Solanum lycopersicum: one gene and its partners. Each later gene encodes a partner of the first gene's protein in a complex. Links are inferred from orthologs where the notes say so. Each region holds a gene or a part of one and is shown in the gene's direction. Other genes may lie near its edges.

The links.
Region 2: mediator of RNA polymerase II transcription subunit 15a (region 1) and probable mediator of RNA polymerase II transcription subunit 26b share a complex: the UniProt entries of both Arabidopsis thaliana proteins name them as parts of the mediator complex. The link is inferred for Solanum lycopersicum from reciprocal best matches to the Arabidopsis thaliana genes NRB4 and AT5G05140.
Region 3: mediator of RNA polymerase II transcription subunit 15a (region 1) and MED18 share a complex: the UniProt entries of both Arabidopsis thaliana proteins name them as parts of the mediator complex. The link is inferred for Solanum lycopersicum from reciprocal best matches to the Arabidopsis thaliana genes NRB4 and AT2G22370.
Region 4: mediator of RNA polymerase II transcription subunit 15a (region 1) and mediator of RNA polymerase II transcription subunit 16 share a complex: the UniProt entries of both Arabidopsis thaliana proteins name them as parts of the mediator complex. The link is inferred for Solanum lycopersicum from reciprocal best matches to the Arabidopsis thaliana genes NRB4 and SFR6.

Annotation. Positions count from the first base shown.
Region 1 is NC_090803.1:3,496,871-3,504,019, forward strand, and holds part of mediator of RNA polymerase II transcription subunit 15a, read left to right. Parts: coding exon 1-331; intron 332-674; coding exon 675-745; intron 746-2,174; coding exon 2,175-2,249; intron 2,250-2,697; coding exon 2,698-4,014; intron 4,015-4,101; coding exon 4,102-4,437; intron 4,438-5,895; coding exon 5,896-6,096; intron 6,097-6,224; coding exon 6,225-6,313; intron 6,314-6,645; coding exon 6,646-6,853; 3' UTR 6,854-7,149. UniProt on the Arabidopsis thaliana protein: Component of the Mediator complex, a coactivator involved in the regulated transcription of nearly all RNA polymerase II-dependent genes.
Region 2 is NC_090809.1:61,263,802-61,271,697, reverse strand, and holds probable mediator of RNA polymerase II transcription subunit 26b, read left to right. Parts: upstream 1-2,783; 5' UTR 2,784-3,750; coding exon 3,751-4,197; intron 4,198-4,804; coding exon 4,805-4,870; intron 4,871-4,971; coding exon 4,972-5,054; intron 5,055-6,109; coding exon 6,110-6,162; intron 6,163-6,285; coding exon 6,286-6,413; intron 6,414-6,508; coding exon 6,509-6,536; intron 6,537-6,645; coding exon 6,646-6,980; intron 6,981-7,060; coding exon 7,061-7,151; intron 7,152-7,304; coding exon 7,305-7,441; 3' UTR 7,442-7,890; downstream 7,891-7,896. UniProt on the Arabidopsis thaliana protein: Component of the Mediator complex, a coactivator involved in the regulated transcription of nearly all RNA polymerase II-dependent genes.
Region 3 is NC_090805.1:1,886,902-1,894,769, reverse strand, and holds the start of MED18 (mediator of RNA polymerase II transcription subunit 18), read left to right. Parts: upstream 1-3,914; 5' UTR 3,915-4,308; intron 4,309-4,488; exon of another isoform or gene 4,489-4,562; intron 4,563-5,298; 5' UTR 5,299-5,320; coding exon 5,321-5,356; intron 5,357-5,522; coding exon 5,523-5,622; intron 5,623-7,589; coding exon 7,590-7,647; intron 7,648-7,728; coding exon 7,729-7,868. Other genes in the region: ZNHIT (zinc finger HIT-type containing protein), read right to left, coding at 1-51, 607-693, 1,883-1,945, 2,066-2,097, 3,105-3,178. UniProt on the Arabidopsis thaliana protein: Component of the Mediator complex, a coactivator involved in the regulated transcription of nearly all RNA polymerase II-dependent genes.
Region 4 is NC_090801.1:59,380,565-59,388,503, reverse strand, and holds the start of mediator of RNA polymerase II transcription subunit 16, read left to right. Parts: upstream 1-3,700; 5' UTR 3,701-4,031; coding exon 4,032-4,351; intron 4,352-7,939. UniProt on the Arabidopsis thaliana protein: Component of the Mediator complex, a coactivator involved in the regulated transcription of nearly all RNA polymerase II-dependent genes.

The DNA of each region.
Region 1 (7,149 bases):
GGCTTGACATCTAATCAGCACCCTATTCATTTGATGCAACAACCAAAAGTTCCTGTACAACAACAAATGCTGCAGAGTACTACAACCTTGTTACCAAATCAAGGTCAACAATCGCAGTCGCAGCCAGCACAACAGCAAATGATGTCTCAAAGTCAATCACAACCAGGACAGTTACAGCCACCTTTGGGTTTGCAGCAACAGGCGAATCAATTGCAAAGGGAGATGCAACAGAGGCTTCAACCATCAGCCCCCTTGCTTCAACAGCAAAATGTAATGGAACAGCAGAAGCAGCTATATCAATCACAAAGAGTCGCACCTGAAGCCTCTTCAAGTATGTATTTTTCTTAATCAAAGCTTTCAATTAGGTCTCATAAATCACTCTGTAGCAGTTTGTCATTCTTAGATATTTCCACCTTTCATGCCTTATATGTGTGAAGGTATAGGACTTCTACACTATGTTAACCACTGGTTTACATTTTCTTTATGTAAAAATGACTAGTACTTTCAGGCAAGTTTTGGGATATGAAAGGTGGTGGATATTTTAGATAATATTCATACTTATCTGAAATATCCAACACCTTTCATATCCCAAAATTTGCCTGAAATTTTAATGCTGTAAGGAGTCAAGTCCTTCAATATTTTTGTGCTATCCTTAACTTTTGGTTTATTTGTAGCATCTTTAGATTCTACAGCTCAGACGGGAAATGCAAATGCAGCTGATTGGCAGGAGGAGGTTTACCAAAAGGTATTTTTTTCGATGGTATTTCTATCTGCACGGCATGTTGAGAACTGAGGAAATTACTGGAAATTGTTGTTTTGGAAATTGACAAGTGAACTGTATTTTGATAAATTGACTGGTTGCAACAATATAAGAAGTAGCTGAATGCTGTGAAATATTTTTTGTGATTGATGGATTAATAGAGGAGGTTTATCAAAATAAGTATTCAGCAAATTCATGGTCATATCCATTCCCGCAAAGCACTTTTACGGTGTTCCAATTCGTAGAAGCACTATAGAATTAAGGTTATTGCAGCTTACTTGTAAGAAATTGATTTATTCTCAATTGAGAAGTGAGGTACAACAACTATTACGCCTCAATGTTAATCAAATTAGCGTCTGTTATATGAATTATTGTTGTCTTATGTTGCTTCATTTGAGCCCCTCTCAATCCAAAATTATAGCACTTGAATTTCCTTACACTTTCTACTGGCATAATTGGGAAGTGAAGTAAATAAATTGGTTGGTTACATTTATTTTTTGATGAAGTGATTAGAAATAGTTGAATGTTGTTATGTATTGTCTGAATTCACGAGGTGTGATATGTCCGTAAGTTTGGGTCAGGGTCCTCATAATATGTACCTAATTTGTTTTATTCCATGGAAACTAAAGAATTAATTGCTACATTAAAGGGTAAATCTATTCATGCAGGAAGTATATACTTGAATATATGGCTTAAGAAAATATTGTTCTTTGTGAAAAGGCACATCATCTGTATTAGTTGGTAACGGTTTTTGTTTCTGTTTTTTGGGATATCACGAGAAATTCATTGTTGCCTGTTTTGGAATGTGGATGATAATGGGTCTGTCCCTCTAGCTTTTTGTACTTAAATACCTGACTTGGTTTACTAGCTAGAAGTGTAAGTTGGAATATTTTGTGTTCGCCAAGAATAAAGATATAACATCAACATGCCTTTTTACTTGTGAAGTAAACTACATTGTTGTTATTCATTGTTTACCCTCATTTTGCTTTACTGGTAATAAAGGTGTAAAGTGAAAAAAAATGATGTTTTCACACTAAACAATATTATATCTCCCAGACAATTATAGAAAAGTATATTCTAATTCCTCCTGGTTGGGCTGGTCTATTATCACATCTTGGAACTAGACCCTTGCTGTTAGCACCGAGCAGAAACGTGTACCAAGAAGCTGAAGGAAGCAAAGTTCAGTTGTTTATTTTTTCATTCACATGTTGAATCATGCAAAATGGATTCTTTAATGAGTTTTAGTCTTCCGCTTCCACTTCACTTTTAACTTTTTATCTGGAAGGTTCTTTCATGAGGATTCTCTAGTTTGTTCTCTACTGTATCGGAAAGTTGATCTAATTATTACCTCTCCATATGGGAATGCAGTCTTGACATTTGCGCAATTCTGAGCTGATGCAAATTTTTAATGCAGATAAAGTCTATGAAGGAGTCGTACTTAGCAGAGCTCAATGATCTATACCACAAAATTGCTTCTAAAGTGCAACAGGTATGTCATCAACATTTTAATCCATTCTTATCATTTTTGGAGCAATTCTACTAGCTATGTATGGTGCAGCATGTTTGCCTGTGTTGAAGCGTTGTGTATGATTGTAAAGTAGAGGTGGAGGACACCATAAAATGAGCTATTTACACATATCTAGGTGAATACTGTGATGTAGATGCCACTTTTATGTTCCCTTGGGGAAGGGTTCAAGGCCTCCCTAATTCTTCGGGCAAGGGCTTGATTTGTCTAAATTTTAAGAGCGCTTAAGTCAGCATTCTGTTGAATTGGGCACCTGGCCACTATGTTATTTGTCTCTTTATGTTGGTTTTAAGTTTTTCTCCCTTTTTCTTTGCTGTGGGAGGGAGGTGTACTTGAAGCATGAATTTTAAAAGTTTGCAAAGGGCAAGAAACAAGACTTTGACTAAACTGATTTTTTTTTCCTGATTTTAAGCATGATTCTCTTCCTCAGCGTCCTCAAAATGAGCAAATTGAAAAGCTCAAGATGTTCAAGATCACGCTGGAACGCATTGTGCTTTTCTTGCGGCTTAACAAGCAGGATATTCAACTTTCTCACAAGGAAAAGTTGGCTTCGGTTGAGAAGCACATAAGTTTCTTTCTTAGTTCCAATAGGCCGCGCAGCAAGCCTTCTTCTTCTCCACTGCAGGGACAGCTTCCTCAGTCTTCCATGCAGCTTCAGCAACCACCATCTCTTGATGGTCAATCTAATCCGTCGATGCAACCCTCACAGGGTTCCATGGCAGCAATGCCTCAGAATAATCTCACCAACTTGCAACATAATACCTTGTCTGGTGTACCGACAATTTCCAACTCCCAGCAGCACATGATAAATACAGTACAGCCTGGTTCCACTGTGGATTTGGGACAGGGTAATTCATTGAACTCACTGCAGCAGGTGGCTACTGGCTCTTTACAACAGAATCCTGTTAACAGTCCTCAACAAGTTAACATGAGCTCATTAAGCTCACAAAGTGGAACAAACCCCGTACAGGCAAACCTCGGTTCCCTACAGCAAAATTCAAACGCCCTGCAACAGTCACTTCCTAAGCAGCACGAGCAGCAAATGTTGCAGAACCAGCAATTAAGACAGCAATACCACCATAGGCATATGCAGCAGCAACTTTTTCAAAGACAGCAGATAATACAACAGCAGCAAGCGAAGCAACAGCAGACCACGCTGTTGCCAACCCACCAGATGTCTCAGCTTCAACAGATGACTGATGCTAATGACCTAAAGATAAGGCAGCAAATGGGGATAAAACCAGGAGTTTTACAGCAACAGTCAGTTGGCCAGCGTGTTGGATCTCATCATCCCCAATTGAAGCCAGGAATATCTTCACCTCAACTCCATCAAGCACTGTCTCCTCAGGTTACCCAACATCCTTCTCCACAAATTGACCAACAAAATATGTTGGCGTCTCTTACAAAAGCTGGGACTCCTCTCCAATCCGCAAGCTCACCGTTTGTTGTCCCTTCTCCTTCAACTCCCTTGGCTCCATCTCCAATGCCGGGAGATTCTGAAAAAGTTGGTGCTGGCCTTGGATCACATACCACTGCTGGAAATATAATGCATCAGCAAGCTACTGTTGCTTCTGCACCTGCCCAATCCCTTGCAATTGGTACTCCTGGGATATCAGCCTCACCTTTGCTTGCTGAGTTTACTCCTCTAGATGGTACACATGCCAATGTCTCAGCTGCTGTTCCTGGCAGGTCAAGTGTTGAACAACCATTGGATCGCTTGATGAGAGCGGTTTGTATTATACCATTCTACTTAATTTGTATCTTCACTAATCCCAATAATCTGTCTTCATTGATTTGACTTGTTTATTACATTCAGGTTAAAAACATGTCTGACAAAGCATTGCAGTCGTCAGTTCAAGACATCTATTCAGTTGTCAGTATGAATGATAGAATAGCAGGATCTGCTCCAGGAAATGGGTCAAGAGCAGCTGTTGGCGAAGATTTGGTTGCCATGACCAAATGTCGTCTCCAAGCGAGAAACTACTTTACGCAGGATGGACCTACAGGAACAAAGAAAATGAAGCGATATACAACTTCCAACGTTGTGTCGTCAAGCAGCAGTTTGAATGATAGTTTCTGGCAGGTGAATTATTCTGAAACACCTGAGTTAGAGTCAACAGCAACATCCAATGCCAAAAGACCTAAAATAGAGGTAATTTTCTGCTGCCTACTTACAGGATAAAAGTACAAAACTGCACGTCCAAACATGAGAGCTCCGTGGTAGACTATATTGGTTCTTAAAAGAAAAAGGAGGTCCATTCAGGTGCATTTTAGAGTTAAAAAAGTAAAAACTGATCTTTGTCCATGACTGCTAGAGAGAGAGTAGAATGACCAAATGCAATATGGTGGAATATTTCTTGAAGTTTCAGCTTGCATGCAAACTGAAACTCGACTCAGAGTGGTTTTTAACAATCATTCCTTGTGCCTGCTCTTTCATTTTTATTGATTATGTTTCTGCAACTGGAACATCATCAACCCCAAACTACCACTTATAGTTCTGTTCTGAAAACTTTGATGGCTATGATAGAATATTGTATGGAAAAATCAAACATTACTTTATGTGAACGAGACATGAGTTTTACTTCTTTAGTACTCTTTCAGCTTGTGAGTATGTCTAAATAATCTGAACTAAGTATAAGACGACTGTCTAGAATAAAGACAAATGCATTTTATTGAATGCTATATGCAACCTGAGACTTTCAATTGGCTGCTCAGTCTTTGTACCAGACTGTCATTCAGTGTCTACTTATTCAACATATGATAATGCCCAATCCCTACCACAAACTTCCCGGCTCTTAAGTGTCCCTCAGCCTTACTGTGCCTGAGCAGCACTCAGTACAAATCTATACGGAAACAATAAAAATACGCCTTCTTTCTATATGGTTTCAATATTATCCCTTTTGTAGCAACTAGCGTGTGAATATATTCTAGTGGTGAACTAAAACCCTATCTATGAACTATTTTGACTTGAATTCCCAACTGCTCCTCAATTTATTGCTAGGCTCTTTAGCATTTAGATTGACCCAAAACACTTGGTCCTTGCATTTTCATATTGGGTTTTTTTTTATGCCTGGATTCACCCTACCTTTTTTGTGTTACTATAAACAATGTGAATCACTTGAATCCCACCTAATCATATGATAGAGTTTCGCATTTCCAGACGAGTAAATTTGTTCAACAGGAAAAGCAGAAATGCTAAGTGAAAACATTCCAAGCTTTGGCAGGATACAGGGCAATAGGCATTATAATTTTATAAGACTCGAGAATATAAAGCAGCTTTGCTTCTAGGCAGCATGTGAACCAACATTCTGGAATGGTGTTTTTATTCCGTAAAGCTTTGCATTTATGGGAAAATGAGTTATTTTTGTTATTTTGTTTGTCACATGGTTGCATTTCATCCTCTCTTTTTTAAATGATCAGACATCCAATGTTTGTTGATGTAAGATAAGAGTGTTTGATCACAAAAATGTTATCTTGTCCAGATGCTGATTTCCTTGATCTTGCATTCAAATTGATGTTTTGATCTTTGACAAGGAAATTGCTTTACTTGTCAACTTTTGGTTCCTCCAGCTTTACCTTGTGGATAACAGTAATTAGTACTTTATTGTAGGTTAATATAGCACTGGTTGAAGAGATACAGAAAATCAATCGGCAACTTATCGACACTGTTGTAGAAATTAGTGACGAAGGTGTTGATCCAAGTGCTCTTGCTGCTGCAACGGAGGGTGGTGAAGGCACTACTGTTAAGTGTTCTTTCACTGCCGTTGCATTGAGTCCAAACTTAAAAGCACTGTATGCTTCAGCGCAGATGGTAAGATATTGATCTTCATATACTGAACTTGTGTCATCAACTACTTATCAAAAAAAAGAAAATCTGTCATTAACTCTTTTACATTTTTTGTTTCATTGGTTGAATGATGGTATTTTACTTCTGTGCAGTCTCCAATTCAGCCTTTGAGATTGCTCGTTCCAGTTAATTATCCAAACTGCTGTCCGATTTTGTTGGACAAGTTTCCAGTTGAAGTTAGGTGAGTAAATTTGGCAATCTTCTTGATAAGAGCAATTATAGTCCTCGTTATAAATTAAAAAAAGTAAGAGCAGCTATAACATATGAATCAAAATAGCATTAATAGATCTGATTTTTTGCCGTATTCATTATACCTTGTTGATTTGTGAAAAAAGGTCTTACAATTTGAATTCTCTAATAGTCAATCATAAAAGATTTTGTACAAGTGCCTTTTGATCTGCGTTAAGATTATCAACTAGGTTTCGAAAATCTCCTTATACAATCTTATAGTCTCCACTTTTAACTACTATGTGATGCATTTGAAAGCTGTGTTTCAACTATTTTCTTCTGCAGTAAAGAGTATGAAGATCTATCCACAAAGGCCAAGTCAAGGTTTAGTGTCTCCCTGCGAAGTCTTTCACAGCCAATGTCTCTAAAAGACATAGTCAAGACTTGGGATGTTTGTGCTCGTGCTGTAATTTGTGAATATGCACAACAAAGTGGAGGAGGAACCTTCAGCTCAAAGTATGGGTCTTGGGAGAATTGTTCAACTGCAGCATGATCAAAGATGGAATTATGAGGTTTTCTTCAGCTGCCTTTGGCCTTGCTCTCCTGCTGTTACCTCCTATTTACTGATGGTGATTGCGTAATTGTCGTCTTCTTGAATTGAATGCTGAGATTCATTTTTATATACTGGCTGTTGCTGGATAAGCTTTTGTACCCCCTTGAGTTGTTTGTACTCAAGTGTGTGGATTTTACCTCTTGAGTTGTTTATACTCAAGGTGTTTGCAGCTGAATATTTTTTAACTTAGCACTTGTTTGGTACAAGGGATAACTGATTTCGGGATAACTTATTCC
Region 2 (7,896 bases), on another chromosome or scaffold:
AATATCTGATTAAAAAAAACATTTTATTCATTGCACCTCATTCATTGATGATCAATCCATCCTAAAACAAAAATAGGGTGTGTTTGGTATGCATACGAATATGATTTTTAAATGTTTTGCTCATAATTGTGAGAAATATATAGTTTAAATCTAAACGTTAAAAGGGAATTTAAGAGGTTTAAAAGTTTGAATTTCTCTTACGACGAATGATTCAGATTTTTTAATATTTTTATTTAGTTTAATCATATTTAATATTAACAAAAAGAAAAAAAAGTATTTCGCCAAAAAAAAATCATCATTACATTGTCATGAACCAACAATATAAACCCATTAATAAATAAATAATTAAAATAACGTTATGATAGTACATTTTTTTAATAAAAAAATAATCATGTAAGGTAAAAAAATTCAACATAAAAATAGGAAATGGGATGTGAATAAAACAAGCAACATAGTCATATGAAAAATGCATTGGAAATATAAATGAAAACAGAGTTTTTGTTTTGTTTTATTGAGTCGAACCGAATATTATGTTCTAAAAATAATTTAAATCTTTCATAATTTTTTTATATTATTTGATTAATTTAATTTCTCTGAAAATTGAAACAAAAATCTATTATACAATACTAGCAACAGAAATTAATAAACTTCAACAAATTCAATGAATAGAGAAAATTATATGACACTTTTTATCATTGAATTTAAGGATAATAATATTTTTATGAATTTCTTTTTCTAATTCAAAGTTAACCAAAGAATGAAGAAGTCCTAACTAAATAATAATATCACATAATAATAACTTGCTCATTAAAATATAATTTATATATTATGATTAATATATTAAAAAAAGAAAAAGGAAATAAAACAGACAAAAGACAAATTGGAGAAAAATGTAAGACTGAACACTCTAGATAAATTAAAAAAAAATTACCCTTTCTATTTAAAGTAAATAAAAAAATAATATTTTTTTTTAAAAAAAAAGCTCGTAAACGAAGGTTACAAACTTTAATGTGCTAAAAATGTCTTTAAAATACGTGTTGAAATTAGACGATATTTGACTAACTAATACTAATTAGGTTAACTTAGGGAACAATTTAAAATAAATACATATTTAAATCAAATATTTGACATTAAAGGCACATATAAATTAAGATATTAACAGAGGACGAATTTGTTCAATTTCACTAATTATGAGGATATTTTTGAGATTTTTTCATTTAAATTTTAGTAACATTAGTCGAGAAAACATAATAGAGAAATAAAATGTCATATTATTAGTTGCACAATTAAAAAGTCCAAAGAGTCAAGTTTATTCAATAGTTTAAGTTATAGAAGATTAATGAAATTCTAATTGAATTATAGGTATCAAGTAACAATTATTTTGTCACCAAAATATAATTTTGTAAAAAAAATATTATGATAGTGCAATTTTTTAAAATGAAACACGTAAGATAAGAAAATCCAACATAACAATGAGGACCGAGATCATATAAACGTTACCTCGTTATTGATAAATGCATTGGAAAAATAAATAAAAAATTAAAATTTTGTTTTGTTTTGGATCAAACAAAAAAATTCTGTTTTTTTAATGAAGTTTAATTCCTTCGTATATTTATTTAGTATTATAAATTAAATTCTTTCGAAATAGAAAGAAAATCTACTATACAACACTAGCAATAGAAATTACAAACTTCAACAAATAAAAAAAATTATATGGTACTTTTATTTACAAAATACAATGCAAAAATAAGTAATTTGTATGTTTATTAGGATTTTAAGGATAATAACATCTTTATTGAAACTCTTTTTCTAATTTTAAGTTAATCAAAGAACGAACAAGTCCTAAATAAATAATTATAATAATTTCACATAACAATAACTTGTTCATTAAAATATAAAAAGAAATATAAATTTATATATAACATATTATGATTTATAAACTACAAAAAAGGAAACAACATGAAAAAATCTAATATAACAAAGGGTGGTATAAGACTAAAACAGGAGAATTAATTTTTTAGTCCACTTGCTATTTTTAAAAAGGCAAAGATAAATTGGAGAAAATTTAAGTTAAACTTTATATAAATAAAAAATTTACCTTTTTTATTTGAAGTAAAAAAATAAAACTCCAAATGAATAATAGTATCAAATAACAATAGTTTGTCATTGAAATTTGAATTTAATATAATATTATGATATTTTTTATAAACAGACAGTATTATGATAAAAAAATTTAATGTAAATATGACATTTTATACGAATCAAACGTAATAAGACTTTTTCTTAAAAATTAAAATAAACAATGTGAATATATATTTATCCGTATTAATTAAGCATCTTATTATTTTAACAACTTATATTTCTTTTTATATAAAAATAAATCAATTAAAACATACTTTAAATATTTTTTTATTTTTTATTTTCTTACTTTTAATATATAAAAAATAACATTTTTTTCTTATTTTACCATCGATATTAATTGCTTACTCCTTGCTCATTTTTCAATATCCAAGACTATACATCATTCATCAATTAATATATTCACAACAAAATTATTATTATTATTACGAAATATATTAAAAATAGATAAATAAAAATAAATGAAGAGGATATATTATTTTGTAATTCCATAAAAAAAAACATATATAAAAAAAGAAAACTACTTCAAAGCAAAGAGATAAATCACTTCCTTAACTTGAAAATAAAAATCATTTCCTTTCAGATTTTTCTTTTATTGTTTTTCTATATTATGTCACTATATTTATTTATTTCTTATCATCCTTCTTTGAACTGAACACAGTTAAAAATAGTTTTTCTATGTCAAAGAGATATGAATAAAATCTATATCCATATCATTTCTTTAAACTTTACTTATGAACCTATATCAAATATGTTATTCTCATCGTTATCGTTGTCATCATCAAAGTTATCCTTATGAATTTCATCCATAAAAGAAGTTTTCAAAATCCAATTTCCATTCTATATACATATCAGAATTCGATTAGTTCAAATTTCACACTTATTCATACTTAAAATATATATTTTATATACTGACAATCTCTCGAGTTAAAAATGAAGGAATCAGAACCATCTCACCACGATCCATGCTAATGACCGAAGAAAATTGATCCTTATCACCTACCCCTAACCCCTACCCCCCACCCCCAACAGAGAAAAAACAATATTTTTTCTTCCTCTCTCTCGTGTCTCTTTGAACCAGCACCTTGTATTGCTTTTTTTTTTACAGAGAGAGAAATATAATTAAAATAATAAAAGATAGCTAGAGAGAGAAAATCTTCTATACTTTTTTTTTAACATATATTCTTTTTCTCTGGAAAAATTTCTTTCAATCGGAATAATTTTTTCTAGATTTCTCTTCTTATATCTCACCAAAAACTTAATCGGATTTTTATTTAATTTTTTTAATTTTGTTTTGTCATTTTGGGTTTATAGAGTTTCTATCATATGGATTTTTCCTAAAAAAAAAGCATAAAAATCTGTATCCGATTGCATTTTGCAGAACTGAATCGCCGGTGACACTGATTATTCAGTTTCCGATCATCGGAAAAAGTACCTAATCGGAAAACCAGAGGTTTTTATTGCTAAAAACCTTGTTTCCGATTAGAATTTGTATGATTTTCTTGTGGGTATAATTAAAATCGGATAAAGATTGAATTTGTATATTTGGGTATTGATAAATAATTGATTTTACGATCTGGGTTGATTTGTTTTTGCTCTGAATCATCAGTTATGGCGAAGAGTAGTGGGACTTTGGATAAATGGAGGGACTATTTTCGTACTGCAAATTCGGATATATTTGATATAATTGAGTATGCAGTGATGGTTGCTGCTGTTGATTGTCCAAAGGAATTTAAAATGAGAAGGGATAGAATTGCTGAAATGTTGTTTACATGTAAAGTTACTATGTGTTTTGGTTGTGAGAAAGTTGATTTAGCTGTACCAATTGCTGGTAATGATGATGAAGGAAAAATTAAGAGTAAGGATGAGTTTGGTGGTAGTAAAGAGAGCAAAGTTAACAGTAGGATAGATCATCATGATGTTGAGATGAATGTGAATCAAGTTAGCAATTATAGTTATGGAGAAGCTGAGGCATTAACTGAGGAAATGGAGGAAGAGACTCAGACTTTTGGGGAGGTGATGAGGATCAAAGATGTCATTGATAACAACCAAGCTGAGGTTCATTTCATCTCTATTGAATTTTGGTTATACTGTTGATTTGAAGTATTTTGCTGTGTTTGGATTTGTTCAGTCAAGAATTGGTGGACTCTGTGTATGTGAATTTGAAGTTTGTGTACTTTTGGGGTTGATCAAGAAGAAAATCTTGATAATTGAGCTTAAATGTTGTTAAATTTTTGGAGTTTCTGGTGTTGTATGACATATAACAATGGTTACTTTTATGGTTGAATTTAATGATTTGAAATTTCTGTTCTTGTGGGGTTGATCAGGAAGAAGAATCTTGATAATTGAGCTAATGTTGTAAGATTTTAGAACTTTTGTGGTTGAATTTGATGGTGATTCTATTTTCTCTACTAGTGTCTATAACTGGAAAATCTGATATGAGGTTGTTTTCATGTCACAGTTAGGAAACCTTTATGCTTTTCATTTCCTTTTTGCCCCCTTTTTGTTCCTTTGATCTAGTTGTACAAGGATGTTGCTTTCTTTAGCTTTAAAACAATGTATGAAGCTACTTTTAAACTCTTTATATCTTTTGCTATTTCACTTGCTTGGTAGTTTTGAGCTTTCCTCTAGTAATCGGGTTTTGAGTTATTGTTCTTTTTGACAGTCTGCAGAGTTGTTTGAGTGCTTAAGAAGGCTTCAACTAATGGCTTTGTCTGTGGAGACTTTAAAGGTTTGATCTTTTGACGCTTCCAAAATTTCATCTTCCATTTATTGTGGTTACTGTTTTTTAAATTTATTCTGGATGGACATAATTGATTGCTTCTATATCAGGCCACAGAGATTGGAAAGTCGGTTAATTCTCTCAGAAAGCACAACTCAAAGGATGTTCGGCATCTATCTCGGACATTGATTGAGTAAGTAACTCTTGCTTTATTGCTGAAATAACTGTAAGAATGTCGTCAAAATATGTATGCACAACACAGTTCTAGTAGTCTGATCCGGGGTATCTTTAATGTGGCTGAATTTGTTTTATCGCAAAGGTTTGAACTTTTGTCTTCGAGTTGAACTAACATGTCGTATTGGTGGCTCTGGCAGCTTGCTTTGTCGGTTGTAGTTTTGAAGCTATTATTACTTTTTAACGCTTGCAACTGTTTGTCGCTTACCGTTTATCTTTACCGTAAAATTAAGATTTCATCATAACTCAATCATCAATGCATACTAATGATGGTGATTGCTTCATTTATCGAGTGCTGAATTTGTTTTTATCGCAAAGGTTTGATCTTTTGTCTTTGAGTTGAACTAACATGTCTTTTTGGCGGCTCTGGCAGCTTGCTTTGTCGGTTGTAGTTTTGAGCTATTATTACTTCTTAACGCTTGCCACTGTTTGTCGCTTACCGTTTTTCTTTAATTGATGTTATCTTTAATGAAGATTCCATCATAACTCAATCATCGATGCATACTAATGATGGTCATTGCTTTATTTATCGAGTGCTGAATTTGTTTTTATCGCAAAGGTTTGAACTTTTGTCTACGAGTTAACTAACATGTTGTATTGGCGGCTCTGGCAGCTTGCTTTGTCGGTTGTAGTTTTGAGCTATTATTACTTTTAACGCATGCCACTGTTTGTCGCTTACCATTTTTCTTTAATTGATGTTATCTTTACCGTAAAATGAAGATTACATCATAACTCAATCATCGATGCATACTAATGATGGTCATTGCTTTCTTCATCGAGTGCTTCGCAAAATTTTTGTGACTCACTTTGGTAGTCCCTTTTTATTTATCAGAAGTATATGACTGACCTTGCTCCTTGCCGCTGTAACTTGAGCTCTAGTTTTGCTGTTTTGTATACCTTTTTTTTTATGCAACTTTCTGATCTACTGGTTGGGTACATCGTCTATTTCTATGGAGTTGCTTTAAGTTAGAATTCTTCGCAGCTTATTGCTGATCACATTTTAATGGATCACAGGGATTGGAAGGTCTTGGTAGACGAATGGGTGAATGCTACTGCAGCCTTTGCAGGTTAATTGCTCAAGAGTTTCTTTTGCTTCCGTTTCAATCTTCAGTAAAAAATGAATCTCTCATATGTCGTCATTCGCAATTCTGAGCTGAATTTTGAACTGATTTGTTATTTCTTGCTTAAAGGTAACGAAAGCACTCCAGAGTCTATGAAAGCATCTGTAGTTGATCAAGACGAGGAAGGACTTCCTTCCCCGCCTTTAGATGACTTAGCTTTCTTTTCTGCTCAGACCACTTCAATTGAGTTGTCACAAGTATGATCAGCTTACCCTCTTCTAGAAAAATTGATTATTTTGTTTGGTCGGCTGCCACTGACTTATTTTCTCTTTGTTGTTTGTGAACAATGAAGTTCTTTGATGGCATGGATGATGATGGAAGTGAGTAGAACTTGTGTCCATATTCTTTCAATATCCCTTCGCTATTCGGCTCTTTATTTGGATTCCCCTCTAATAAAGGTATATTGTTCCAATTGGGGATTTATTTCAGATCCTCGAAACAGTGGGGGATTCAATGTGAACCGTGGAAATGGCCGAAAGCCATCACTAGGTAACCAGAACATTCCTCTCCAGAAGAAGCAGTCTGCTGATTGCTTCAATGCTTCTCCCAAAGAGAACAAGGGTGAACAACAAAAGAAACAGGAAGCTGTAATCAAGAAACAAACAACAGTTGCCAAACCAACTAAGCCATCTGGAGGTGAATTTGGGCCTGGAAGACCGACAAAACCAGCCTTGGAGCAGAAGCTCAAGGTTAACGAGATGAACTTCCAGCAGAAATCTGATAAAGGCACAATTCAAAAGAGGCCTGTGGCGTCTCAACAGAATGTGAGTATCTGAAAGAAAGTTATCTTCTGATTCATGTGTAAAGCTCTGATCCCTATCTAATGTGTAATTTCGTCCTATAGAAGCTTAGACATTCAGATGAGGATGCTGTTCAAGTCAAACTCGAGGCGACTAAAAGAAAGCTCCAGGAGCGGTACCAAGAAGCTGAAAAAGGTTGGTCCTCGCTCCTCTTTAAACTTTTTGGATACTTTATCTGGATATATACAATGCGTGTTCGGTTTCCTTATGAAAACATTGAAATGAATTGATTGATGACTGTGAGGTCCCCGATAACGATCTGAATGAATTTTTATAATTGTCCTTCAGCCAAGAGGCAGCGGACCATACAGGTTATGGAGTTGCGTGATATCCCAAAGAAGGGCCCAAATCAAGGTGTTGGCCTTAAGAATGCTCATATGAGACCTGGCAACAATAACAGGCATTGGACAAATGGACGTCGTTGAATTCATTTCAACAGACTGTCTCAATAAGTTCTATAGTTTCATCCACCTCTGCAGTCTATTCTCTTAGAAAAACACCGATGACTCCTCAGCTGAGTAAATCCTCAACTTTCTGTGTAAACAAAGGATCTCGTCTAATTGACCTCAACATAGAGAGGCCACTCTCAAATCGGGAGGGGCACGTTAATGTTATCGGAGTTACATTATGATGCTTAGATAAACATTTCCTTAGACCTTATGATGTAGTACAGGGGCTTGCGAATTTCGGTTTAATTTTCTTTTTGATCTTTAGGAAGGACATAATATCGTCCGTTTCGGATGAACCATCATATGAGCATTAACCATATGCTTTCATAGAAAACCCCTGACTGTAAATTTGCACAGAATAAGTGCATTGAAATATATGAACTAGAATATAAAGTGATGGTTACATTTTGGTCTTTTTTAGACAATTAGTT
Region 3 (7,868 bases), on another chromosome or scaffold:
GTTTTTGAAGATCTTTGTTCCGTATAGCCTCAAGAATTTCCGAAGAAGAAGCTGCAGCGAAGCTATAAAATGTCATGGGGGAAAGAACGATTCAAGAAACAGAATATTAATTTGGCACACAATTAAGTTCCTTCGATGTTACAAAAGTGCAATTTCTAGTATAACAAAACGCTACTTCTCTTGGGAGGATGGGCATAAACGTGCCAATCAATGGGCTGTAAATCTGATTAAAGAATTTTTTATAACACAGTGTCCGAGCTAGCTTGCACTTGACTAATATTACGAGGTATTGCTATCTCCCACCAGTACAGATACGAGAAAGCCAAATCAGTGTCTCTTATCAAGGTGAGGTTCTTAAGTGAAAAGTGAAAACAATGTGTCAAACATAGATGTTGCCTCATCCCTGCATTCCATACATCCTGATTTCGTCTCTGGTCTAAATCTTTAAGACGTAGACTTGCTTTATATCAGGAAATCATATAATTTCAAAATCATCTAATGCAATGAAGCAAACATGACTTTTGCATAAAATCATATCATAATCACATTGGAAGCAAAATGAAGCCTGAATCATTCATGTTCTCACAACACAATTTTGCGACATACCTATAGACTCTAGTTGCGACTGATTGACCGCTTCGCCTGGCTCATCAACATAGATTGGCTTCTCCACATGCAATGCTGGAGCAGGAGCTGACAGAGATAGAGTGATGCATGTTACTTTCTCAATATTAGCATATTATGCATATTAAATGAAAACAATAAATAGTGCCAAAATTCTACCAGATGAATTCTCACTTTTCACGCAGACAAGTTGGAACAGAAGTGTAAATTGTTTACACAAGTCAGTTTTTAATGGGAAACAATTGGCAAGAGGGCAAGTGACAATAGCTTGCATTTCGTGCAAATACAAATATCTAGTGCTGAATGGAGAAAATAACAAAACAGTGCCTGAATCTCTTTAGCTCATGGAACTCGACCACATTTACATTACGTCCAAAACCAGCAATTACAAACCCTATGCACCCTCCACGAACCAAATAGCACCCTCCACTGAAACCTCCACAATTGTTTCCTCCCATCTACCCCAGCAACCTCCTCCTTTTGCAGCCATTATTTAAACCAACAGCTTTTAAGAAATACCCAAAAAGTGGATCTTCACTTTCTTGCATCCTTTTATAGATCTCTTAATTTATCTAAGGAAGATGTACAAGATACTGATGATAAATAGTTCAATAGCAAGATGTATAATGCGGGACTATGATTTGTGTTACTATCCTCAAAAAAAAATAAAATGCGGGACTATGATAGCAAACTAACCCAATAGAGGATGCTACATCGAAGAAGTTGGAAGCGGCACTAGTCTAATAACACAACATTTACAACTACACGCATATAGCAGGTCTGATTGCCCTAGGAAACAACAGGAACCTTGGAACAGTGGTAAAGTTGTTTCTATGTAACCTATATGTCATGGGTTTGAGTCATGAAATTAACAATGATGCCCGCATCAAGTTAGGCCGCCTACACTTAACCCCTTGGGTGCAGCCCTTCCTTGAACCCTACATGAACACGGGGTGCTTCATGCACTGGACTGCCTTCTTTTTTTTCTTTTGGATTTCTCCGGAAACTCATTCATCAAAGAGACGTCTTGTCAGGTATCAAAGTTATCACCATAAATGCAAATGGTTATTGAACATAACGTACCATCACCGACAAAAAGGATAGCTAAGTGACAACAAAAGATACTAACGAAGACAATAAACTTAAACTACAGTTAGTGAGAAAAAATATAAGCATATCATTCACATTCTTATAATGGTTATACAAAAATACAACAAGAAAAAAAGTTCAACCGTTTTATTAGAGAAGCCATCCTTACCAAGTTTTTCCTCAGAAAGTGGTTCTGATTCGGGTTCCGGTTCTGGTTTCCCGCATGGAATTTCTGCATAACCCACAGATAAGCTCATGAAAAGACCAATTTTTATCACTATAAAATACACAAACCACAAGTATAACCCATAAGAATAGTTAGATTCACATAATATGTTCATAAAGAACATACCTTTATGCTTCTTGAAACAGACCAAAGAACAACTGCAAGATCAAAACAACCAAAAAAAGAACTTTTAGGTTTATCAATACTCAAATCTCCAGTAACATAACCCATAAATTACAACCCAATAAATACTAATACTGTTACACCCTCAATACTAAACAAATTGAGTTCACTGAATTCACAGGGAATCCAATACTTAAGTTTTATGAGTTCAACCTTTAGCTATCGTTTGATAGCTAGTACAGAGGCAACTTAATTATACAGCGCTTCGTATTTAGTTAAAGAAGTAAATTATTCATGTAAAGAAAGTCTGCAATTTAGAAATCCGCAGGCATAAGATAGATAACTAACAACTCCATAATCCTAACCAGCTACCAAACGACACTTCAAAGTTCTTTGCAACGAATTCATGTATAAAAGTCTGCAATTTAGAAATTCACCTTAGTTATGAGAAATTTATGCATTATTTTATGCCAGGCATAAGATAGATAACAAACAGCTAATAATTCTAACCAGCTACCTAACACACCTAAGGTTCTTTGCGACAAATTTATGTATAAAAATATGCACTTTAGAAATCCGCATATAACTAATACAAATATAAGTTATGAGAAAAATTTGTGTATTTATTCTATGCCTGACATAAGATAGATAACTGACAGTTGCATAATTCTAACCGGCTCCCAAACGACACCTAAGGTTCTTTGCAATGATTTCAATGTATAAAAGTCCGCAATTTAGAAAGCTACATGACTAATACATATATAAGCTACGAAGAAATTTATATATTATTTTATGCCGGACATAAAAAATAACTGCATAATTCTAACTAGTTACCAAACGAAACCTAAGTTTCTTATCAACAAATTCATATCTCTATTTGCTACAATTATGATGTTTTTCTACATATAAAAATTTTTACTCTGAATTTTGTATGAATAATCTATATCCATTCCCCTTCAGTTTAAACTAAAAACAAACTCAAAACCCAGAATTAAAATTCAAATAAATTTCAAAGAATGAAAAAAGATGGAAATATAATTACAAGGGGATGAAGCAATTGGGACACTTGTATCTCGACTGTGCTTCATCACATACTTGACATTTTTTCGATCCCATTATTTCTTCTTCTTCTTCGTTATCGAGGTTTTAGGGTTTTTTCTGGAAGAGGTGGAATGTAAAATTGCAATATTGGTCCCTGAATTTTGAGTTTAGATTCAATCGGGTTCTTACAATTTTATCAAATTATACTTTGAGTCGCTTAATTAATTATGGGCCTAAACTCGAATTCGGGTCCAAAATTTTCAAACCATTTTCTCTTCTGCTAAGTACCACTTTTCTCTAATAATTCTACGAGATACTCGTCACTTTCTATAATAATCATTTTTCGTAAAAGGAATCAAATCATTTTATTCATTTATATAGAAAGAATTTTGCAATAATTAATTTTCGTAAAAAGTATCAAATTATTTTATCCATTCATATAGAAAGAATTTCGTGTTATCAATTTTCGTAAAAGGTATCAAAATCATTTTATCAAAGAATTTCGTAATAATCAATTTTTCGTATAAGGTATCAAATTATTTTATCCATTCCTATAGAAAGAATCCATTAATATTTTTTAATTAATTATATAAGATACTAATCAAATTTTCGTAACAGACATTTATCCACTCGTATGAAAAGAATCCGCTAATATTTTCAATTGATTCTACGAGATACTTGTCACTTTTCGCAATAGGTATTATTCCAACCCTATGTCTTGAGTTTCGACTTTTTTGATATTTTCGACCACTTCATTGAGCACTAAATCACCATATTATCTCTGTTACTGCTAATTGTTTTGGTTTCTCTCAGCCATAGCTTGCATTACTAAACCTTAATTTTACAATTGATCGTAGAAACATATTTTTCTTGCTAGAAAAAATCTCTCTTTGGCTCGTTTTTACTGTTGATTTTTTGTTATGTGATTAATTGGACCTTGTTTGATGTAGAAACCTAGATTTTTTTGTTACAATTGGACCTTGTTTGATGTAGAAAACTGGATTTTTTGTTACAATTGGACCTTGTTTGATATAGAAACCTAGATTTCTAGCTAGAATTTTTTTTTCTTTGGCTCGTTGTTATCGTTGATTTTTTGTTATGTGATTAATTTAGGTCTGCCTGTTTAAGCTTTCGAACTATTTTTTTTAATTGAATTTTTGCAGCTCAGATTGGGGGAAAAAGTGAGATTGCTTCAACTGTTCAAGGTAATTCTTTCAATTTTTTGCTCTGATGTTTTATGTTTAGTTCTACAATGCTAAATGATTGTGTTTTATATGTCATACAATAGTGTGTATAGATGATAAAATTTGGAGTTTGATGTAGAAACTTTGAAAAAACAGATGTATAACAATAAAGATATGTTAAACAAAGATCAAATTGTACAGGCACTAGAAAAATCATATTTTGATGCCAAAATAGTCGAAAAAAACCAAAGGCAACATATACCATATAGTCCAAGGTATTGTCTTTTCTTCACCCATTCTTCTCCTTTTCCATTTTCTCTTTCTTTCCTCCATTTTTGTAGTCATTCGTTGTTTTTGCTGAGCACATGCTCCATCATATAACAATGACAACAACATACCTTGTGAAATCCCACAAGTGGACTATGGGGAGGATAGAATGTATATATGTTGTTGTACGTATGTAGAAAATATTTGCCAAACAGGAGTTAAGCTATGTGTCCAAGTGACTAATTTTCCACATGAAAAGAATCACCCATGGTGGAGTGACTTCATTGATAAAACTTGATACCATTCCAGCACTACTACCTATTTCTTTGAAGAAACTTAGTAAAACTTAAGGTTGTTTGGTCATAGCCTAATGAAAGGAGCAAGTTTGACAGTTTTTGGTGCATATTGGATCATTAGAAGTTTCATGCTTAAAATCTTGGTGAGAATTTGGGTGTACCAAAAGACAAGTAATGACCAAATGCTTAAATTTCTAATTATGGATGGAAAAGGCAATAATTGAAGACCACCCCAAAATAGGGGCAATCCGGGCAAAAACTTTAAGCCTCAATCCAAAACTAAATTCATATTAAGATCCATTAATCTTCAAGCAATGCACTTCTCATACAAAGAGTGTCAACTTTGTTATGATTTTGGTTAGGTGTTAGCTTTTTCGTTGTTACTCTTCTGTTAAACTTAATATCTTTTTGGTTCATAGGTATGTTCTAAAGAGTTCTTTGCATGTAGGTTTGAATAAATTGAAGTGCGAATGGAGTGTGTGGTTCAGGGAATTATTGAGACTCAAGTAAGTTCCTGGAGTAATGATAAAACCTCCCCCTATTTCTCGTTTTTTTCTTATTCAATCTTTTAGAAGGTATGCTACTTGTAAAAGGTATACTACGGCATTTACTGAAACAGTTTTTGGCAATTGATTATTGAAAAGATCTTGACAGTGCTAATCATACTTGCAGCATGTCGAGGCCCTGGAAATTCTGCTTCAAGGGCTTTGTGGTGTACATAAACAAAGCTTAAGGATTCATGAACTGTGCCTTAAAAGTGTCCCTAACCTAGGTAAGTGTATTTTCTCTTTGAACTATTATGGAACTAGGAACTAACCCAATGGTCATGTATGTACTGATGTGGCTGAGGCAAATGCTCACAACCATCTATGCATTCGTAGGGAGGTTTTCTCACCTTTGAGTTTGTACATAGCTGATAATTTTTTTATGGTCCATCTTATTCTAGTTGTACTGTGGTGCTGCATGTCAATTATTGAATGGAATTAGGTTCAAGTATGATTCACTTTCAGTACATCTAATTTATAGGTCGAGACCACATGGTTTTTGCTCATTCACTTGTTGACTGTTGAGTGCCTTGTTTTCAACAAAGTGTTGCCTATCATGGTTTTGTCGATGATACAGATGTGATTCTCTGCGATGATGTACATGTGATTCTTTGACATGTTGATGAGGGTAACGTCGGAGTATTAAAACAATGCTTGTTTCCTGTTAAAGATAGTATGGCAGATGTTGATCCCACAAGGATTGAGTTTCTGCTATCCTAATTAGTGTTGCTCAATTACTATTCGAGTAATCAGATAAGCAGGCGGAATGTTTTTGACTAAAATGAAATATAAATAAGAGTTCTATGACATGAATGATGGTGAAAGAGTATCCATCAGTTCATTAAACGAGTTGAATATAGACTTTTTTGTTCTAATCAGAAGGAGTTGAATCTAGACTTCACTTATGATTAGTGTATGGTGTTCACTGTCCACCAATCAATATTGATCTCTAAGTTATAAGTGCCTCTCTCTATTACACTCAACATTGATTATTCCTCTCGCTTGTAGTAATATCTAAGGAAATAGAAAACCTTAAATTCAGAGCACCTTCAGCTAATCACCTTCCAAATCACTGGTGTATATCTCGATTACATCTAACTACTATAACCTTCTTGGCTAAGTGTATTTCTTTTTATTATAATAGTCAAGGTATTATTATACCTTAAATATGGAAGACGGTTGATTAATTAACCTTGGCTCCCACAAATATATGTTGACCCCTTGTGGTTGTCTACGCATTTGTCATATCATCATCACAATTCATAAAGTATGTTGAAGACTGATTTCTCCTCTTGGTTAGACAAGGAAAAAAAGCAAACTATGATCATTCAAACGTAATTGGGAAAATAATGGAGTCCAGTGACCTCTCTAGATCAGAAGTTTGAATTGCAGAACAAATGGTTTGAATCAAATTAATAATTGTAGTTAGAGAATTAATTTATAAGAGTTAAATTATGATATCCATCTAAATCTAACTAGCAGAAAGTTACTTTATAATAGCGGTCAATCCAAATAATGAAGTATTAAAATCACAAAAATTATAATGAGAGTAAAATATGAGAAGAAAAACTCCTCAAACCGTCAATCTCTTCCTTTGAGCTCTAATTCTAGTGTTGGATCTCTCTTCCCACCTCTATGCTGTCACGGGTCGTGCAAAAACTCAAGTATCCTAGCTTAGGACGAGTATTTAGGACTTGAGAGGTTAGGGTTCAAACCACTTGGAATTCCGAAATTGTGCACTTACAGTTCTCATTCACTAGGTAGTGTGCAATTAGCAGCAGGGCGTGCAAGGCACACTCACTCCCTTGTGTTTGCAAAATGTTGGTTCTCAGGTTGCACAATTGTGTACTTCAAGTTGTTTCGGAGCTATTTCAACACCGTGAGGTGCCTGAGCACCTAATCTTTGAGTTGTTTACAGCCCAAATCCTCTCGAACTGCTTTCTAGCATGTCATGCGACATCACCTAAACAAAATGAGCAAAAGTGTGGACTCAAATTGATATCTGATTTTCACCTAATTGAGAGATATAAAATGGACCAAATATTGCGTGCATGATCAACTGTTTATACTCCAATCACATATCATATCTTGTCTAAAAATCATTTATGCCTTCTCACGATTTTTTCTTTTCTCCTTTCCTGCTCTTTGTCTTTGGGTTATTTTAACCGTGTGGTCTGTTGCTTACCATTCTCAGGCTTAGTAGCATCAGAAATACGGCTCTTATGTGATCTTGAGCAGCCAGAACCTGCATGGTAAGAGATCTGGTTTGTCCTGAGCCCCTATCTATTGGGACACTTGAAGCCTAAGTTTTTTTTTTATGTGATTAAACATAGGACTGTTAGGCATGTTGGTGGTCCAATGAGAGGTGCTGGTGCTGAACAAATCTCAGTGTTGGTGAGACCAATGCAAGAAAGCAAAATAAGCAAGAATGCATTACGCTTATTTTATTCACTTGGCTACAAGCTAGACCATG
Region 4 (7,939 bases), on another chromosome or scaffold:
TTTTTGCTACATCATTAGGACGAGAGAAGTAACATATATTATTAAAAATTTACGTAAAAAATATTATAAATTATAAAATTGCAATAAACAAAAAAGTAACATATAGTATGTAATTTAAAAACTAAGTACTATACATTGGAGTAAGAGAAGTAATATATATTATTTAAAAATTACATAAAAATACTATAAATTTTAGTAATTAACAACTCAAAATATTTAAAAATCATATTATAATTTTATTCACTATCTAAATACTACCTATGTCTAGCACGACCATTTATGTCTAGTTTTAGATATTTGTCAAACAAGGAAGAAGTTATAATTGACTAGATTAAACCCAATATTTACCAAACAAAAGTTAAGCAGAAGTTGGATTAATTAATTAAAAAAATATTTTTTTTTTCTCAAATGGATCCCATGTTTCTTGTTTGACCTTTTTTTTAAAAAAAAAAAATAAATAAAAATAAAAATAGTTATTTTTGTCATTAGCGATCTAAGCATAATCTAGTTAATGATGATTAATGATTCTCCACCTAGTTTTGAAAGCGTCATTGGCAAATGACAACGATGATTTGGGTTCAAGTTCAATCATTTTGGACTTTTAAATTTATTTTTGAATTTAATTAACAAGTCTCAAATTTAAACAGTTGATAGATAGACATAAATATTTGTTCCAGTTGAGAATAGTAATTCCTTTTTTTAAATAAAATAAAATAAATCACATTTGACTTTTACCCAATTCTGTCTTTATCAGTTCCCATAGCAACTTTCGAAATTAAATATAATTTGGACTTCATCAAGATAATATCAATTTGTAGTAGTATAATTTGACAATCTGTACATATTTATTATATCAGACAAGACATATGATTGTCCTGTTATTTTCGATTTAATTAGACACATAATTGTCCATGCTTGATAAATTTAAATGTTGATTGAAAAAGCTCAAGAGAAAGAAGAAAAAAAAAAGAAATTGTATTATTTATCATTTTTTCCATGATTAATTGATAAAAAAAAATATAATTGATAGGAAAACAAGTTTAGTGAAAATTAAGAAAATAGTATTTCTATTAGAAGCAAAAAAAATAAGTTTTATATATGACATTTAAGTCCATTATCTTCTCGATTTCATATTTTATAAATAATTTTTATGTTCACACATGATAATCAGGAAGGATGATATTAGTGGTAGAGCTAGTTTTCTGCCTACGAATTCATTATAATTCAGTATCTTTAGTCTTCGATGCAAACTTATATTCGTGTTTTAAAAAAAATCACTTAATATATGCATTAAATAAATTATCAAGAACTCAATAATTTTCTTTTTACAAAAATATAAAAATCATTAACTCAAAATCCTAGCTTCATTGTCTCTAAAGTGCGTTCTAACTTCTAAGGGAATGTCATTTGATTAGTTGTTTCGATTAGCCAGCCTTGCGGCGGTAAAAGGCCACATAGTGAATAATTTCTTGGCTTAAACTCGCAATTTATAAATATCAAACAAAAATAATTTTATTATTACTTCAAAACACCCGTGTAATCATGAAATTATGACAATAAAAAATCGAGAGTACTAAATGGCCAGAAAATTTTAAAAATTATAATATTTTTTTATTTAAAATAAACTGATTTTTTTTCTTTTTTTAGTAAAAGGTATTAAAACTAAACAAAATAATAAAAATATTTAAAAAATAAAATTACATAAAAAATAAATCTCATTAATTAAATTTTGACCGAATTTTCTGATAAATTTTTTTTTTCCTAAAAAATCTTTACAGCTTTCTCTTGGTGAAAAAGAATGACCAACAAAAGGCATAATAATTTTGACTTCCATATTGTTTGGATATTTGACAATGCCAATTTTGTTACTTCAAGATATCTCAACCTGGTTCACAAAATTAGTGGGTCAAATATACAATTGGGCCTTCCAGTTTGATTTTCCCATGGACCAAGTTGGGCTTGATATGTAAGAAGACCAACAATTGAATTGACAAAATAGCACCTTTCCTCCTATTCACTTAAAGTTATTACCGATCTTCTTCTATTGACTCTCTCTTTGTCTTTCTTTATTTTTCACTTTATAAAAATTAAATTATACAAATTACGATGTATAATTTGTGTTATATAAAGCAAGAGAAAGATTTGATATACAATTGTCTTATTTTGATTTAATTGTATACAAATTCAAATTTTATGCAGATATACAAACACAATTATTGATATATAAATATAATAATTAAATATATATAATTATCTAACCGAAATACATATACAATCGCTATGCTTTTATAAAAGAGATAATTGTATAAAATGACAAACTAATAATATAAAATAAATATAGTAGCTATCCTTTAATTTATTTGTGTTCCATAACAAACTGTTTGTCAGTCTCTATCTCTCTCATATTCTCTCTCACCTCTCTCCTCTCTCGCTCGCATATTCCTGTCGCTCGCCTCACTCGCTTTATACAATAGAATTGTATAAATTGTGTTTCTACTTGTATAAAGTGAGAGAAGATTGTATAAATGCATGCAAATACATACATCTTCGTCCAATACACTTATAATTATACAATACAAGTATTTTTCTGTCCAAGTATCCCTTGCCTTTCTCATTGTATACAAATTCAAATTATATATAATTTTTCTCTTTCTCGTTTTATACAACTCGATTAAATTATATTTTCTCTGCACAAGTCTCTTTTTCGCCTTTCTCACTTTCTCGTTTTATACAATTCAAATTGTATATGATTTATCTCTTTCTCGTTGTATACAATTGAATTTTGTCGTTCTCGCTTTCTCGTTTTATACAATTCAAATTGTATATAATTTATCTCTTTCTCGTTGTATACAATTTGCTTCAATTGTATATATAACGAATCATACATATATATGTTTGATATAAAACGCAATAATGCGAATTTTGCTATAGCAAACAAATATGAATTTTATGTTTGCTATAGGTGAAAGTTGCCCTTTATAAAAACGAGGGCCTACCAACGATTTATACAAAAATCTGACACTCCTGTCAACGATATATACAAATCTGATGTTCCATATATAATTATAACTATAACATACAAATATAATTTTTATGTTTGCTAAACCTAAAATTTTACTCTATATTGTTTACACAATTTTTTTAAGGAAAAGTTTAAAAAAAGAATGTTTAATAAGAAAATAACATTTTTGAGTCAAAAGTAGCCATATGGTAATTTTTTGACTAAAGTTTTGACTATATGAATATCTTTGGGCAAATTACAGAAAATTAAGGCAAAATTATAATCTATTTCTTAAAAGTTTATAATTACAAAAATCTCTCAAAACGGATACAATAATATAACCACTGATATATTAATCTAATGCGTAAGATACATTAGTTTGATGTGCGAGATAAACTAATCTGATGCGCGAGATACTCTAGTATAATGCCCGAAGTACATTTTATACATGATATAATGTAATGTGCAGAATACATTAATTTAATGAGCGAAAATAAAAAATTTATAAAATTGATAAGTAATAATAATAATAAGTAAATTAAAATGTGAGATTTCCGTAATTAATCTAATATTTTTTTTTGCCTAAATTAATGAATAGAGAATATTTTTACTCAATTTAACATAATTTATTGAAGTAAAGATAAAACAACCTTTTTATCATAGTAGTATTGTTTGTTAATTTAATGGTTACCCCGTCTTATCACAAGCTCCCCCACTCAGCCCCAATTGAAAAACGTTATCAGTGATTTTGGCTTCCACACTTATAACAGTGTAGTAGTTTTAATAGTAAAATGAAAAGCCGAATAAATCCCCACTAGCTGGAATCTCCGTTCACATTCCTCCTCCCCCACTCAAACCCTAACCCCACACAGTCACCATAGTGATTCCTGTCGCCTTCAACTGGCAAAGACTTTTTTTCGGCCAACCACTTCTCTCTCTAACCCCTCTCTCTGCCTTTCTCTCACTATATACGTATACATATATAATTATATTATATATTAGGGTTTTTGGGCCTTTTTGGTTTATTCAAATGAACAATCAACAACCACCTGTTGCTAAAGATACTGAAGTGGAGAAGGAGGAAGAGTCTTCTTCTGTGATTACCAATTCTCTAGAACCTTCTACTAATAAGGTTCACGAGAAACCGGATATCATTATTGAAGACGACGACGACGATCATCCTGCTGCAATTGTGGCTATGGTGACGGAGAAGGAGGTCTCTTCTGTTGACGATGATCCCATGGATGAGGATACTGTCAATCCTGCTGTCGTCTTTTGTATTAGGCTCAAACAACCTAGGTCAAATTTGCTTCATAAAATGAGTGTTCCTGAACTTTGCCGCAATTTCAGGTGATTTTTTAAAATTTTGTTTATGCTACATCTCAATTCTGGCTACATGACTTAGAAGATGATATCAATATTTTTTTTCCTTATAACTAAAGTAAGGATACGATCGAATTTAAAAAAAGCAGAAAAAGTGAGATTAGTCTGTTAGAGGTTTACTTAGTTATGCTGGAAGTGGAGAACTTGTTGGAACTTCGCAGTTTAACTGTTGAGGCGGTGGAAGTCACTGAATTGAGTTCTAAAGTTGCTGTACGTTGAGCTCACTGCCTCAAGTGATAGCTAGTTGCTGATCGAAGTGTTGACTTGTTAGTCCGATCATTTGCCGACCAATACTATTATTAGAACATTCTGCTCCCAATATAATCATCACTAAAGTTTAACTTTCTAGATATATTATAAGGATTTGGGCCCTATAATTTGTTCATACATGCAGTAGTTCACCTATGCAAAATGAATTAGTCAAAAATATGTTATTTTTAATGAAGTTTCAGTGGAATATGGAAGATATGAGAAGAAAAACAGAAACTGCAGTCTCATTATGGTCTTACAGAACGACAGAGGGAAAGTTCAATGTTTTTTTTAGTTTCAGTATTTTTGTTCCTAGAGTTATTTCACTTTCTAGATAGAGAGAGAATCATCCTGGTAAGTGTAGTTGCATGCTAATCTGAGAAATTTCAAATTTGCTTTGCCATTGCGTCTTATGCCCTCAATGGGGTAATCATCTTCTTTTTTCTAATAAGTTACATAAGACGATAGGTTAAGTACCTTTAACAAGAGACCAGAGGGGTTTACTATGTTAGAGACTGAAGTACTTCCTCATTTGTTCCTAAATCTTAATAGAGGAGTTAGTTTTAATCCATCCAGTGAAGGGAACTTTAGAGAATAAGACAGAAGTTTCTCTATTTATCTTGCTACATTGTAGAAAGTGGTGAAGATTTTTTTTCTGAAACTGGTAACTCTAGTCTATATATCCACAGGTATACTAAAACAAAAGTGTAGTTCCCCTTCAAAAGTTTTACAACTTACAGAATAAAACAGTCTTAGTCGAAAACTGCTGCTTATAAACAATCTAGCACATCAAAGATATCTTCCGTCCTAGTTAATATATCTTGTTTACATCAAAAATAGAAAAGAGCTGAGCAGTCCATCTTGATCTTCTGTAAGCTATTCTGCCAATTTTCAAAACTCCTGCTGTTTCTCTCTTTCCAGATTGTCCACCAAATACATGCCGGGACAAGTTTCCATCTCTTCTCCTTGTCAGAAGCATTGCCATCTCTATTCCAGCTGCTCAGGACTCCTTTAATGCTCCCTGGTTTCACCCATCTGATTCCCTTTAGACAGATGCACATTCATTCTCCATAATTGTTATGGCCATGTACAATGCAAAAAAAGATGGTTAATTGTCCCAGCATGTTCTCCACATAAAGTACATCTAGAAGCCAACTGATAGCCTCTTGTCTTTAGATTTTCATGAGTCAAAACTGCTTCTTTTGTTAATAGCCACATGAAGTAGTTTACTCTGTAGGGTACTTTTGGTTTCCAGATGATCTTCCATGGCCATTCCATCTCCTGTCCAGCATTCTTGTTGAGTTTCTTATACACTGAATTTACTGAGAATTGACCTTTGGTATCATTTTGCCAAACTAATAAGTCCTTCTTATCAGTGAGGTTGCTGAAAGACCTTACTGAATCTTGAAATTCTGCCACTTAGTCAATCTCCCAATCCTGAAGGTTCCTCCTTAAGAACAAATCCCATCTTTGTCCAGTCCACATTGTAGCCACAGTGGCCTATTGATGTTGGCATAAAGTAAACAATTCAGGATGCAACTGTTTCATAGGGACAGATCCATTCCACTTATCCTCCCAGAAGGGTGTCTTTGACCCATCTCCCACTTCTACCTTGGTTCTGTGATATAGCACTGGCCATAGATTTCTGATTTTCCTCCATACAGTGCATTTATATGAAGTACTTATCATTTGTCATCCACATATTTTCCATGCCATATTTTGGTGACCTCTTTCCAGAGCATGTTATCTTCATTTGCAAACTTCCACAACCACTTCATCATTAGTCTCTGGTTTTGATTCCTTAGATTTCTTATGCCTAGGCCTCCTGTGTTTTTACTCACCATCAGGTCTTTCCATTTAACAGGAAAAAAAGTATCATTCTCAAAAAAAAAAAAGAAAGATGAAACTTCTTCTTATCTTCATTGCCTTGCCATAAGAAATTTCTTCTAAGAGCATCAATGCTATTAGATACATTGGCAGGCATAAGGAAGACTGTCATCATATAAGAGGGTAATGCATCCATCACACTGTAAAATCACTGTTAATTAAAGTCGATCTTCCTCCCAAGGACAAGTACTAACTCTTCCAGTTAATGAGTCTCTTTTCACATTTCTCATGTACCCCATTCCATATGTCTCTGGACTTGCTTTTAGCTCCCAAAGGCATACCTAGGTAAGTAGTTGGAAGCTCCCCAACCTTGCCTCCTAGTGTTCTGGTCAAAACTTCTGTATTAAGCACACCATTGATAGGATAGATGAAGTTTTTCCCCCAGTTAATGTGGAGACTAGATACAGCTTCAAAAATGACAAAAATGACCCTCAAAATCAGTATTTGTTTTGTCTCAGCTCTACAAAATACCAATGTGTCATCTGCATATTATAGATGAGTTATCTCTAAACTAGAAAGTTCTCCTGCTTGGAACCCCTTGATCCATCCTTTTCCCTTTGCTGTATTAATGAGGTTACTCATTCCTTCCATAGCTTAGATGAATAAAAATGGGGAAAGAGGACCCTTTGTCTCGGGAAAAAGCCAGTGGGTACTCTATTACAAGTATAGAGAACCTGACAGTGCCGATACAATGTTTTATCCATCTTATCGGGCCCCAAAACCCATACTTCCCAACATTTGTATAAGAAAGTCCCAGTTTAAGAAGTCATAGGCTTTTTGTATGTCCAGCGTGCATGCAATTCCTGGCTTATTACTCCTTTGTCTGGTCTCTATGCATTCATTAGCTATCAAAATGGCATCCATAATTTGTCTGCCCTTGATAAAAGCCATCTGATGCCTATCCACCAGGCTATGTATCACCCTCTTGAGTCTCTCTACTAGAAGCTTTGAAGATTCCTTGTATAACATTCCTGTGCACATTCACTGTATAAATGTTTAAAACATACTTTTTGTCAAGATAATCTTCCAGACATGTCTGATTTTTCTTCTTGATAAAGATTCCAACCTGTCTAAAATTGTTTAGCAACCTATCAGTTTCAAAAGAGAACTCTCATCTCCTGGATGTTCATTATGGAATGAGTATTTTGGCATAGAAGTTCTTTTTTGAAAGCATCCAAGGTTATGACCTAGTGGTCAATGAAGTGGTTGAGAGCCATGAGATCTCAGTGGAGACAAAAAAACTAGGTGATTCTTCCCATATATCTTAGTCTTGGTGGACAGAGTTACGTGGTACTTGCTGCTGGTGGGAAGTGAAAGGTATCCCGTGGAATTAGTTGAGATGCGTGAAAACTAGCCTGAACACCACGGTTATAAAAAAAGTAGTTCTCTTTTGAAAATTTCCAACTCCTATGCTGTGAC